Linked DNA regions of Lepisosteus oculatus. The protein of the gene in region 2 interacts with the protein of the main gene of each other region in a pairwise test. Links are inferred from orthologs where the notes say so. Each region holds a gene or a part of one and is shown on either strand. Other genes may lie near its edges.

The links.
Region 1: the proteins of 3-oxoacyl-[acyl-carrier-protein] reductase FabG (region 2) and srek1ip1 interact in binary tests that used the Homo sapiens proteins (3 or more experiments, as listed by UniProt). The two-hybrid records come from large-scale screens. The link is inferred for Lepisosteus oculatus from reciprocal best matches to the Homo sapiens genes HSD17B14 and SREK1IP1.
Region 3: the proteins of 3-oxoacyl-[acyl-carrier-protein] reductase FabG (region 2) and nek6 interact in binary tests that used the Homo sapiens proteins (3 or more experiments, as listed by UniProt). The two-hybrid records come from large-scale screens. The link is inferred for Lepisosteus oculatus from reciprocal best matches to the Homo sapiens genes HSD17B14 and NEK6.

What each region holds. Positions count from the first base shown.
Region 1 is NC_090698.1:27,601,752-27,605,506, reverse strand, and holds the start of srek1ip1 (protein SREK1IP1), read left to right. Parts: upstream 1-1,515; 5' UTR 1,516-1,614; coding exon 1,615-1,627; intron 1,628-3,755. Other genes in the region: spliceosome-associated protein CWC27 homolog, read right to left, coding at 714-755. UniProt on the Homo sapiens protein: Possible splicing regulator involved in the control of cellular survival.
Region 2 is NC_090719.1:4,647,890-4,651,644, reverse strand, and holds the start of 3-oxoacyl-[acyl-carrier-protein] reductase FabG, read right to left. Parts: upstream 2,827-3,755; 5' UTR 2,688-2,826; coding exon 2,664-2,687; intron 2,251-2,663; coding exon 2,080-2,250; intron 603-2,079; coding exon 424-602; intron 1-423. UniProt on the Homo sapiens protein: Catalyzes the NAD(+)-dependent oxidation of L-fucose, yielding L-fucono-1,5-lactone, which rapidly converts spontaneously to L-fucone-1,4-lactone. Can also act on D-arabinose and L-galactose, with lower catalytic efficiency. Does not use NADPH.
Region 3 is NC_090719.1:13,838,163-13,841,917, forward strand, and holds the start of nek6 (serine/threonine-protein kinase Nek6), read right to left. Parts: upstream 2,766-3,755; 5' UTR 2,670-2,765; coding exon 2,668-2,669; intron 1-2,667. UniProt on the Homo sapiens protein: Protein kinase which plays an important role in mitotic cell cycle progression. Required for chromosome segregation at metaphase-anaphase transition, robust mitotic spindle formation and cytokinesis.

The DNA.
Region 1 (3,755 bases), on a different chromosome or scaffold from region 2:
AAAGCAAAAACCAACTTTGGAGGACTTCTTTATTTGTTATTTTTCGCCCTTTCATTTTTGTTCTTATTAGACAATACCAAAAAAAATTTTTTACAAAAAATAAATTCCTACTAATATTCTTAACATCCAGTGCCATTCAAGTATGTCTCTAATGGGCCCCAAACATTCCTATACTCATGAACCTTCCCATGTAAATTATATTAAATCTCTTCAAATTGTACTTGTTATATAGCCTCTTTAGTCCATTTAGTCCACCTTTGATAAATCACCAAGGATACATGTAATGGGAGTAAGTGGAACTGAGATATTTAGGTGCCTGAGAGCTTTCCCCACTGTGGAGGTCCAGAACGACTGTATGTGCTGACAATACCATAAGTGCAATAATGATCCTTTATGTGTGTTACATTTGGAACACATTCCTGTATTATGCCACTTCATCTTTTTCACTTTTTTCTGGGGGTATAACAGAGTCTGTTTAAAATTTTGTACTGAAGCAGTTTGTTATGTATAGCTCTAAATGGATAACTAACATTATGCCACACAGTATCTGGAGTCAATGTTGAACTGAAGCAACACTTGTGCAAAAGAATTACCATGCTTGTTTTCCTAGAGCAACGAGCACACCAAATGAAGTTTTATGCAGGACAAAAGAGTAGGGAATTTAATGTTAAATTTACATACAGTATAGCACTGTAATATGGATAAACACTCACCTTGCCGTTAGTCGGGGGTTCTTGTATGTAAATGTTACTCATCTTGGTCCCTTATAGCTTAAAACAACACAAAAGCCCCACACCTTAAAAAATCGCCCGCGATGTTCAACAAAAATATATAAACTCTTTTAGATTCACACTGTGAAAATCCCACAATCAACCTAAATTGAACGAACAGACCACCATGTTGCTAAAGTATAAAAAAAAACTGGCTTAACCACAATAAGCAGGGGGTAACTAAAGAATATTAACGTTTAAGAAGTATTTTAAAGAACAGTTTTAATATTTAATACATTTTTTAAATTAGAAAGTTTGTTCGTCTCTATTTATGTGTAATAAAATGAAATGTATTACTTAAAGCATCATTTTAAATGTAGCCTTTGGTTTAGCCCTGTTTTCTCAGTGTTACACACTAAATACACCCCACGGAAACCATGTGAACTCCGCTGATTAACTTTTCATTCCTCTTCTTTTTCGGAAATGTGATGTTGTAATTTTGGAATAATGTGTATGTTAAACGTTATACAAGTTTGAAAGTTAATAAATTATAACCAGACAGTAACTAAGCCTCTGTAGTTTATCTGCAGTGTACTTTGTGTAACTGTGAGTTTAACATGAGTATTACAGTAATTCAAAATTATCGTCACGTCCTACTTTGCTACGTTCATACTTTTTGCTTTAAGAGAAGCAACAACAAATTGATATTATTTATGTTTTTTTTGTTTTATTACAAAAGTCTAAGATATTTAATATGATGTAATACAACAAGACGATGAAAGTGATTCTTGTTTCCTATGGGAGTGCATTAATTGGTGGAGCTTTCGGGAAGTTTTGAAAGTGAGGTATACGCTCTGAATTTCGGAAAGCTTTGGTTTTATTTTACGGATATCTTTGTCTCGCCATGGCTCTTCCAGGTTGTTATCTTTCGAATCTTTGAAAATCATCTTGTGTGAATGCGTGCTGACAGTATACGTTTGGGGGGGAAAGCAAATTAAGGTTTGGGGAAGATACTGTCTCTACGCCTGCAGTGAGAATTTTCTAGCAATCCTGAGCTACAGTAGCTGTGTTTTGGGACTCTGAAGTACAGCAAGACGTACTGTAACTAAGGATGTTCTCAGTTTAATAGATATATTTTTATATTTTAGTTTTCATCTTATAAGCTAATTCCAGAGTTTGCCTAAAGATATCTGAGTGACTGGAAGCATACAACAAATAAACGTAGTCTTTCGTGTGTTCAGTGCAGAAGTCATGTATAGTATAGAATGAATAACAGTAAATGCCTGGGGGTCCTTGTGTATTCTCAAAATCTGAGCACGCTGCCATCACGGATCAGAGATTTTTTTTAGGGTGATCATTAATAAGAATGTAAAAAGAGGTTGCAGACTTTAAGCGGCCATTCGGCCCCTGTAACGCATTTGGCAGTCAGTAGCTGAACCGAGGCTCTCGTCCGCTCATTCCTTTCAAGAATCCGGGTTTGTTTAGTGTAAAGATATTAACTGAAACTGTTTCTGGAGCCGTATCAGAGTATGATTGTTAGATTTACAGTTCACTACGTTAATTGGAGTTTAAAGGCACTGTACATCGAGTGATTATTCACATTATGTTTATGTTTTGCTTAATACGCTTTTCATTACTACAAGCTTTTACATCCTTTTTTAGGTTTAGTTAGTATAAGACTTAAACTGGTGTAATTTCAGCATCCGTGAGGGCTGATTTCAGGTGTGTGAAGAGAAATTTCTGTGTCGTCTGCTGGCATTTTAGGTCCATGTGACTGTCTTGTTTTGGTGTAAACTAGTTATTTTCCATTGATAGACTAGCTGTCACTGCCCTGTATAAGTCTGGAAAAAACATTGTTTAATAAGGGAACAATTTAATCACACTGGAATTACGATTCTGAGATTAGTATATGGTCTAATGTAATGTATCAAGGTGCTTCCGTCCTAAATAATTCTAAATTAAGTGCCTGACATTAGCTAGGTAATGTTAGGTATGTTTTTGTTTAAGCCACTGTCTGTTGTGTTCTGAATTGGGTGCTTAGAATCTTGGGCTTCTTGAATAAAGTAATCTGATAAATTAATAGTAATAATAATTATCTTTCAGATCATAGCTCAAGGCTTTACAAAAGAACAACACTGCTATTTTACCCCCATAAACCCATTTTCCACAGTTCTGGAAAAGATTTGAGAGAGTTTCTTGGCTGAATTAAAGTTAAAGTAGTCTGGTTTTGAGATTAAATGAGTGCAGTAGTGCTTGTCTCCAGTTGTAGTGAGATCATTTAGAACTTGAGTCACATCTTAATTAAAAATAAGGAAAATACTAAGTCTTAATATTTTAGCACAAAAAAGTTCTGAATAAATAAAACTAAATATAAACATAAATCTACATTATTTTTAACCAAGCAGTTATCAATTAAAGTCTAAACAAGACTGATACATTAACTTTGCAGCGCTTACAAAACCATGTGTGGCTGTTTCTTTTATGGTGTATTTAGCTCAGGAAGTCATTTTCTGTCTTCTATTAAATTTTTAATAGAACACATTGATTTTGAATTGTTACTCTGAAAGGTTGTACATATTTGCTATTGACTCATTACATAAAAACATGTTGAATGTCACAGTACATCACAGAGATCTTTGCTGTAAAGAAAGACGTTGCCAACCCACCATTGACTTGATGAACTGTCGTTTGGTTTTTCAGATAGTTCAGATTATATCTTTACATGTGCCATTTGTAGAGGTTTTTTTCATTGAAGGTTTTAACCTTCATTTTAGCAATTCTGGTTTTGAGATTAAATAAGTGCAGTAGTGCTTGTCTCCAGTTGTAGTGACATCATTTAGAACTTTAGTCACATCTTAATTAAAAATAAGGAAAATACTTAGTCTTAATATTTTAGCACAAAAAAGTTTTGAGTAAATAAAACGAAATATAAAACTTATATATTATTATATAGTATAATATAATCATAATCATTCTGAGAAATGGTCCTGTAGTGACTTACACACAATAATTTTGAAACATTTGATTCAGCTTTTGAATCTTGAA
Region 2 (3,755 bases):
CTGCATGTATACCAAATTGGAACATTTCTGCGGTGAAATATCTGCTGCACAACCTGTACATATGCACTTGTACATCAGATTACATTAGTCATTACAGTGACTAGTGAACAGGAAGGGCCACATATTGCCATTTGTGAGAACTCGCGCATGTAGCGAAACCTGTGGTTTGCGATAACATGGTGACTTACAGTACTTTCACAAAGCTCACAATTTTGTGCTTACTGTAAGTCAAAATGTATAACATTTTTCTTTAACGTCAATGAATTTATTGTGTTGTCGAAATTTAATAACCAGTCTGAGAGACTGGGACTGCAGTTCACCTTTAATAATCAAGGTGCTGAAAGGATAAGCTTCATAAAAATGCACTACATTTTGCCAAATATCAGATCACACTAATTAACTAAAGCTGGTTTCATTCTTTACCTGACATTGATGTTCATGACCCGGTCGTACTGAGCCATGTCTGTAGTCTCGATGCTGCCCATGGCCAGGATCCCAGCGCTGTTAACCAGCACGTCCAGTCTCCCATAGTGAGCAATGGTCTTCTCGATAGTCTTCCTCACTGTGTCTTCATCCGTCAAGTCGCCAGGCACTAACAGTGGCTAAAGAGGACCACACAGATTCAGGGACTGTGAGTGGTTCAGTCTCCCTGTAAAGTCTCACACAGATTCCAACACTTTCATAAAGAGACAATCGAAATTTACAGGCGAACCTTCCAAATATGCCCACATGTTCTGAAATGGTCCCAAATATTCTCAGATATTGTTATACTGTATATTATAGGTGCAGGTTATTTTAACCCTCATTCCCACAAGGGAATCTGAGCTCTTGTTAGACTATGTTCGAGTAGGTAGCTGCATCAGCATGCGTAAGCTGCAAAGGAACAAGTAAAAGTTTATTCGATGCTGAAAAGGAAACGCAATGTTTCGGCTGTGGAGCCTCTACGTCTGAAGAAGCCTTCATCGCCGAAACGTTGCATCTCTTCCTTGCTATTCCTTTCAGCATGGAATAAACCTTTACCTGTTCTCTTGTTAGGCTATACTAACAGAGGTGAATAATGAACATTGTTTTTTCTTTCCTTAGTCTTAGGATTAACAATGAAAAATAATTCTATAAACAATGCTTGAAACTTGGTGCTGCGTTACATCAACGTGTAGTACTCAGATGATTTTATATTATGAGACAGTGTACAGATACCTGTGGATTTGTCCATAAGTATTAGCTTTATTGGGCAGGATTTTAAAGGCCTCCATTGCACAGATCAGGTTGTATGGTGTATTGATTATTGCAAGAAGAGTCAAACCTTTTTTTAAACATTTAAATTAAATTTAAGCCAGCATCTATATCACCCTGCAACTCACAACTAGCAGCCTGCTGAAGCTAAGCAGACGTGAGCCTGGTCAGTACTTGCATAGGAGACTCCTGGGAATGCTGCTGGAAGGAGTCATTATTGGGACCAGTAGGGGGCGCTCACCTTGTATAGTGACAGGGATACTACACTGTAAAAACGTGCCATCCTTCAGATGAGACGTAAAACCAAGGTGCTGTCTCTTTGTGGCCATTAAAAATTCCAGGGAGTTTCTTGACAAGAGTAGGGGTGTTACACCGGCATCCTGGCCAAATTTACCCTTGGTTTTCACCCATCATGATTATTATTATATTAATAATAATAAAGTTAGGGAAAGGGACTCTTTGGGAATAGTATTCTTCTTGAGCTACAGACAACAGATAAAGTAAGAGAGAGGTAAATATTGTCTTTTCCAGGGTGTAGAGTTTTCTTCTGGAAAAAGCCCTGGGCCGTTACTTTTATTAGGAAATTATTTTGTGAGGGAGGCCTAATTCTTTGCCCGTCTTACTCGAGCCAGGTTAAATTTAATCAGCAGTCCTGAAACATGAGATTTAGCCCCTTCCTTCCAAAATAATCTCTCTAAGAAACGTCTGGGTATTTTAGGTAGTGTTTTTACAGGAACACTTCTGCAGCAATTGAGCAAGATCAGCCCTCATTTGCTTGATGGTGTTTACTGTTGAGGATCGGACGGGCCACAACAGAAATATATAATATACAAATCAGCTCTTTACCTCTGTTCCTCCTGCATTTGTGCACTGCTGGGCTATTTTGGTCAGGTTTTCCACATCACGCCCATTAAGCGCCAGCAAAGCTCCCAGTTCGGCAAACAGAATGCCGGTTGCTGCCCCAATTCCTGAGCTGGCTCCAGTAATTAGAGCCACTTTTCCTTTGAGCGAGGAAACCTGAAAATGTATTAGCAGACAGATCAAACAGGAACCAGTATTTGACCTCTCGGGTGCGACGTTTGTCCGATAAAGGAAGAGTTTGGTTCAAGGGAAAGAAAGGTACCGAATATCAAAATCTGGCTTTCTAGATATGACGTTTTGCTTGCAACTAAAAAAAAAACTAATCTGATTGAGACTGTCGATAGTGACTTACGGTGGGTTAGATGTAAAGATTGTCTGGAGTAGGCTAAGGTTGACCAAATTTGTAAAACTTTGACAGGCTAGCATAATGGCAGCGAATTTCACACTTTCGTAAAGGTACGGTGCATTACCCTTGTACACTCTTGTAACGTTAAAACGTGCTTATTACCAGCAGCTGAAAGAGCGCGATGCTGGCAGGGTATTGGGTCGTATTGCCGGTATTTGCCTACCTTAAAAGGGTCTTCGGTTGCCATGTTTCATGAATCGATTAAAAAATAAAAAGTGATTTAATGCTAAGAGCTCAATAAGCAATATACTTCAACAGTCTCAACCACTGATTCCGAAACTGCCTGCTCGGCATTTGTATGACCTCATCACAAAGCGACATTGCCATGGAAAAGACAACTTTAGTGATGTGTCAGCTTGGTATAGCAAGGTGCATATTTCAGTCCGGCAACAAAGTATGCGTGTACATTTTTGAAAGACAAATATAACGTTGTAATTCACTTGTGATTTCAAAACAAATCACAAGTAAACAAACTATATGTTCTGTTTAGATTGAAGTGCTGAATTCTTCACGATGTGTAATTTCACAAGTATTTGTATACGAATCTGGGGATTCTGGTATCTCAATGGGAAAACATCGATTAGTAGAATTTATTTCTTTGCTCGACTATAAAAAGGCACTTGACGGGAAATTTAAACGAAAAAAAATGGAGAGCTTATGTGGAAATGAAAACCACTCGATAAGTATCTGCAGTTCAGTGAACAGTAGTAAGAGATTAAAGCGCATTTAAATGCGGATAAACGTCAATTTCCAGTAGACAAAAGTGATGGATTACCCCCACGTTTCTGACCGCACGGCTCCGATTTGTCTATTTATCAGAAAGGATATCATTTAGGATAACACATTTTTTTTCCTTTTAGTTAATTCACAATGTGATGTACTGTGTAGTTGGTGAATTATTTTCTTTAAATTGATTGGTTATAAGTTGATTACCTTTTTTTCTAGATGTTCTCTAGATGAGAACATCTCTAGATGAGATACCACATTCATGTCCAACAACCAAAATGGCAATAACTCTTATTACTTTGCCAAACAGGTGAAAGGGATGCATTAACATCTGTGATGGAATGGATAGTCACGTATGTGTATAATCTAATCAGCATTGTGCATAAAAAACACAACTGTTCTTGTTTTAATAACTGCATTACAACACTGTGATACTTAAAAAAAAAGGTTTATTTTAAATGTAATATAAATTAAACCAAAACATCACATATGAAAAAATAAAGAAGTGGAACAAGGGCCTGTTGTGAAG
Region 3 (3,755 bases), about 9.2 Mb from region 2:
CACACCATGAGACTGAAATGACCTGCCATGCTGCAAACCAGGCACAATGAGAGATTTTGCCCTTGCAACACACTGATCAGTATACCTACTGTACAGTTCATATCAATGGCTTCACCCTGAAAGTTTTTACTGTTTTACATTTTTTTTTATTCAGTTCTGAATTGACCAGTATTTTTGTTGTGCCCTCCCAATTTTGAAGCAGATGGCCGGGGGTTTTTTCGACCCACGGTTTGAAACCCTGTAAGCTGCACCAAGGGGAGAACGGGGAACCGTGGGCTGACTCCTCCAACCTGCCTGCCTTCAAGATGCTAGTTTTGTTTCACACTTCACAGGCAACACGGTCTAGTACTGGAAGTTCAGCACTGATTGGAGGAGAGGTACTGGACGTCCCTCACCACCAGCACCGCCAAACTGCAAGAGCCCAGGAGACAGCAGGGGGCGTTGTGATGCCGAGAGCTGAGGGGGCTCTGACTGAATAAGCCCACCCTAGCCTGTGTAGCACTGTGCCCTTCCACTCAGGGGATCCCAGCTGCAGTCAGCTGCTGACATGGCCCAGTCTCATGGCCCAGTTTCACCTTTCAGCCAGACAGCCGGAGTGCACAAATTAACATAATCAATCAAACTACCACCTGCAAAATGATAACGGACAACCGCTCTAAATATGAACAAAGAAACCGACAAGAAGAAAAAAAAATAATTACACTAAGAAATTAACAGGTTCTTTTTTTGCCTCGCATTATAAGGAACTAAATATGTGGGCTGCTCTGCTTCTGTCTTTTTATTGCCTTGCAGAAAACACGTCTTTTAATGAACTGGAAACTTTTCTTCTTAATTATAGCACTCACCATCAAAGCTAAAATGCACAAATTCTTAGAAGAAGCTTTACATCTGGTACAGGAAATGCCACCTAAGCTTGCTTCGAAATGATGCAAATAGAAGTAAGAGGGTTAAGTGTGACTTTGTGGTTGAAAATCGCCCCACAATAGACTGGTGCTAAATCCAGGGACTGAGACGAGCTACGCTTGACTCATTACAGCTGAAAATAACTCCTAAAAGTATACATAAATCCCCGAGCCACACACTGCTATCCCTGCTTTGTTACAAGATTACTTTTCAAACTATTTTTAGTTTCACATCTATGCATTTGGAAATCCATTACAAACCGCAGCACGGTTTTACAAGATAACAGTTATACAAGATCAGAGCTTGCCACTATTTTATATTTAATGACAGAAGTGAACTCCTTAAATCAAGATACTAGAAATATTTCATTTTAAATACACATGATGTAATCCCCAGTTCATAATAGCAACCCACATTCTCACTTTGAAAACTCACACAGATGAATTGCCAATTTTTATAAACGGTACTGCAGCCAGGCTTGAGTAAATATTTCTTACCCCATTACTTGCAGAAACTCTGAAATGCAGACGTACATTAATGTGCGTATTTTCCGTGAAAAACATTTTATTCACTTTCAATAATTTTAAATACTTGCCCGTTTTTAGTTTTGTTGTGAAAATATGGACATGAGTGGCCAAATGTAAATTAGTACTGTCTCCAGTATGAATCAGGGTTTGGCTCATAAACTAGTGGACACATCCTAACTGTAACTGTACATACATTACATTAGAACATCCAAAAATAATATTAATGTACCCATTATATTATACCAAATGCAATCTGCACTGCTACCTGTTTTCTACCTGACAGGTTACGATATTAAAATATTCCTTCCTTTAAAATGTATTTCAGGCATTGAAACACATCACGCATTTAGAAGTATATATAAATTTTATTTTCGAAATTGACAATTTCATAGAAGCATGATGCGCCTGTTCCTCAATAATAATTTATGTAACTTTTATACCATAGCCCTTACTCTATTGAGATCATTCCCATATCTGGCTTAGTACGCTAGCCCTACATCTTTTATGCGTTTGAAGACAGGAATGCTGAAATAATCAATAGTCTTCAGCGAATTGGGTCAGACAGCAAGAGCTACTGTCCTCATTAACGCCAGCCTCCACAGGAAAAGTTAAAAGAATGGCAGAGTAAAATGACAAGGCCTCGCATAGACACATTGGAAACAAGGCACGTAAATCCTGCATTAGACCTGTCCAATGTGAGGTGAAGCACCTCTTAAAAAAAAACACCTTTGAGCTTGCACACCTGTAGAATCTTTCTACAGTAAAAAAGCAGCACAGGTCGCCCAACCCAGAAATGGCACTTGACACATCGGATTTCATTTAATAATTTCATAATCCTAGTTGAGTGCTGCTCGCAAAAAAGTTCTTCATTAAAGTAAATAACCATAGTTTTTATTAATGCTACGTAGTGTAGAAACAACAGCTTACTATTACAAAATCGGTAAGAACTCATCTGTCGTGTGAGTACAGAAATGTTTATTCTGTGGCTTGATGGTTTCTCGTCAGGTGTGATGCTCTTGCGGATTCAGAAGTCTTAAGTCAAAATCTTACAGCTGATACAGTGCATCCGAACTCTGCTAATGCACAGTACTGCAGGTGTAGCGCTCTTCATGTACAAAAAGGTTTTCCACCACACACACACAAAAAAAAATCCCTTATGATGCAACTGTGTCAGAGGAGCAAGCAGAAAAGGGGAAGAAGTATCTTCAAACAAACCTCTTTTGGTTTGGCTACTTACATGTTTCCTCTGTGTGCTTGACACCGCAGAGATGCTGTCTGCAAGTCTCGACTCCCTGGTAAGGTGTCACCAGATAGCCCAGCTGCAGCTTCTAATCACCCTCTGAAACCTTCAATGACAAGCTTCACTTCCTGTTTCCTCCCCTGCCAGCTTTTTTTTCTCCTTTTTTTTTCCAGGACAGCCTGTGTTACACTCTCTCAGATCAACACAACAGAGTGCCAACAGGCCGGGCCTTGGTACTGACAAATCAGGAGTTTTTTTTTCTTCCATTGTGCATATTCACACCACTTTATCCACACACAATTAGAAAACAGCTCTAACTAAGATTCTAAGATGTCAACTCCACTCACTGAACCATTTGTAATAAGGTACTAGGCAAACTATACAGTACTTATTGCACAGGCCCAGGATTATAATCAATCTGTATTTAATAGTTGTGCTTTAATAATAATAAAAGTGCAGTCACATAAACCCATTTTAATGATGTCCCTTTACTGTTTAATCACAATTCATAAAGAAACTAAGCAACTTCAAATTGTATCTTGTGCTAAAATTCAAATCATCTGTTAATTCATGAATGTAATGATCAAATTAATCTATTAAGGTTAATAAACAACTGTATAGCGCCTTGCAAACGTATTCCGACCTTTGCTCCAGTCTCACAGTCTGCATTAAAGCTTGCAGTCATGACACGTTAAAGTGGCAATTAATATTTTTGTGCAGAGAAAGTACTCCACACATTCAAAGCAAAAAGCAAAGAGTAAATAGAAGTAAACAGATAATACGAAAGGAAAATGGAGAAATAATGATTAAAAAAGTATTCCAATCCTCTGCTAACCTAATTTTATTTATTTATACAATTTTATTGTAAATAAGTGCATCTTACACTCAGCCTTATCTCTGCTGTCAAGCATGGTTGTGTCAGTCTTATGTTAAATTTCTGCTTTTCATCAGCAGGAACTGGGAAGACTGTCAAGACTGATGGGAACATAGATGGAGCAAAGTACTGGCAAATGTTAGGGGAAAACTTGCTTCAGACTTAAACCTGGGACAAAACTTCACTTTTCACCAGGACAATGATCCAAAGC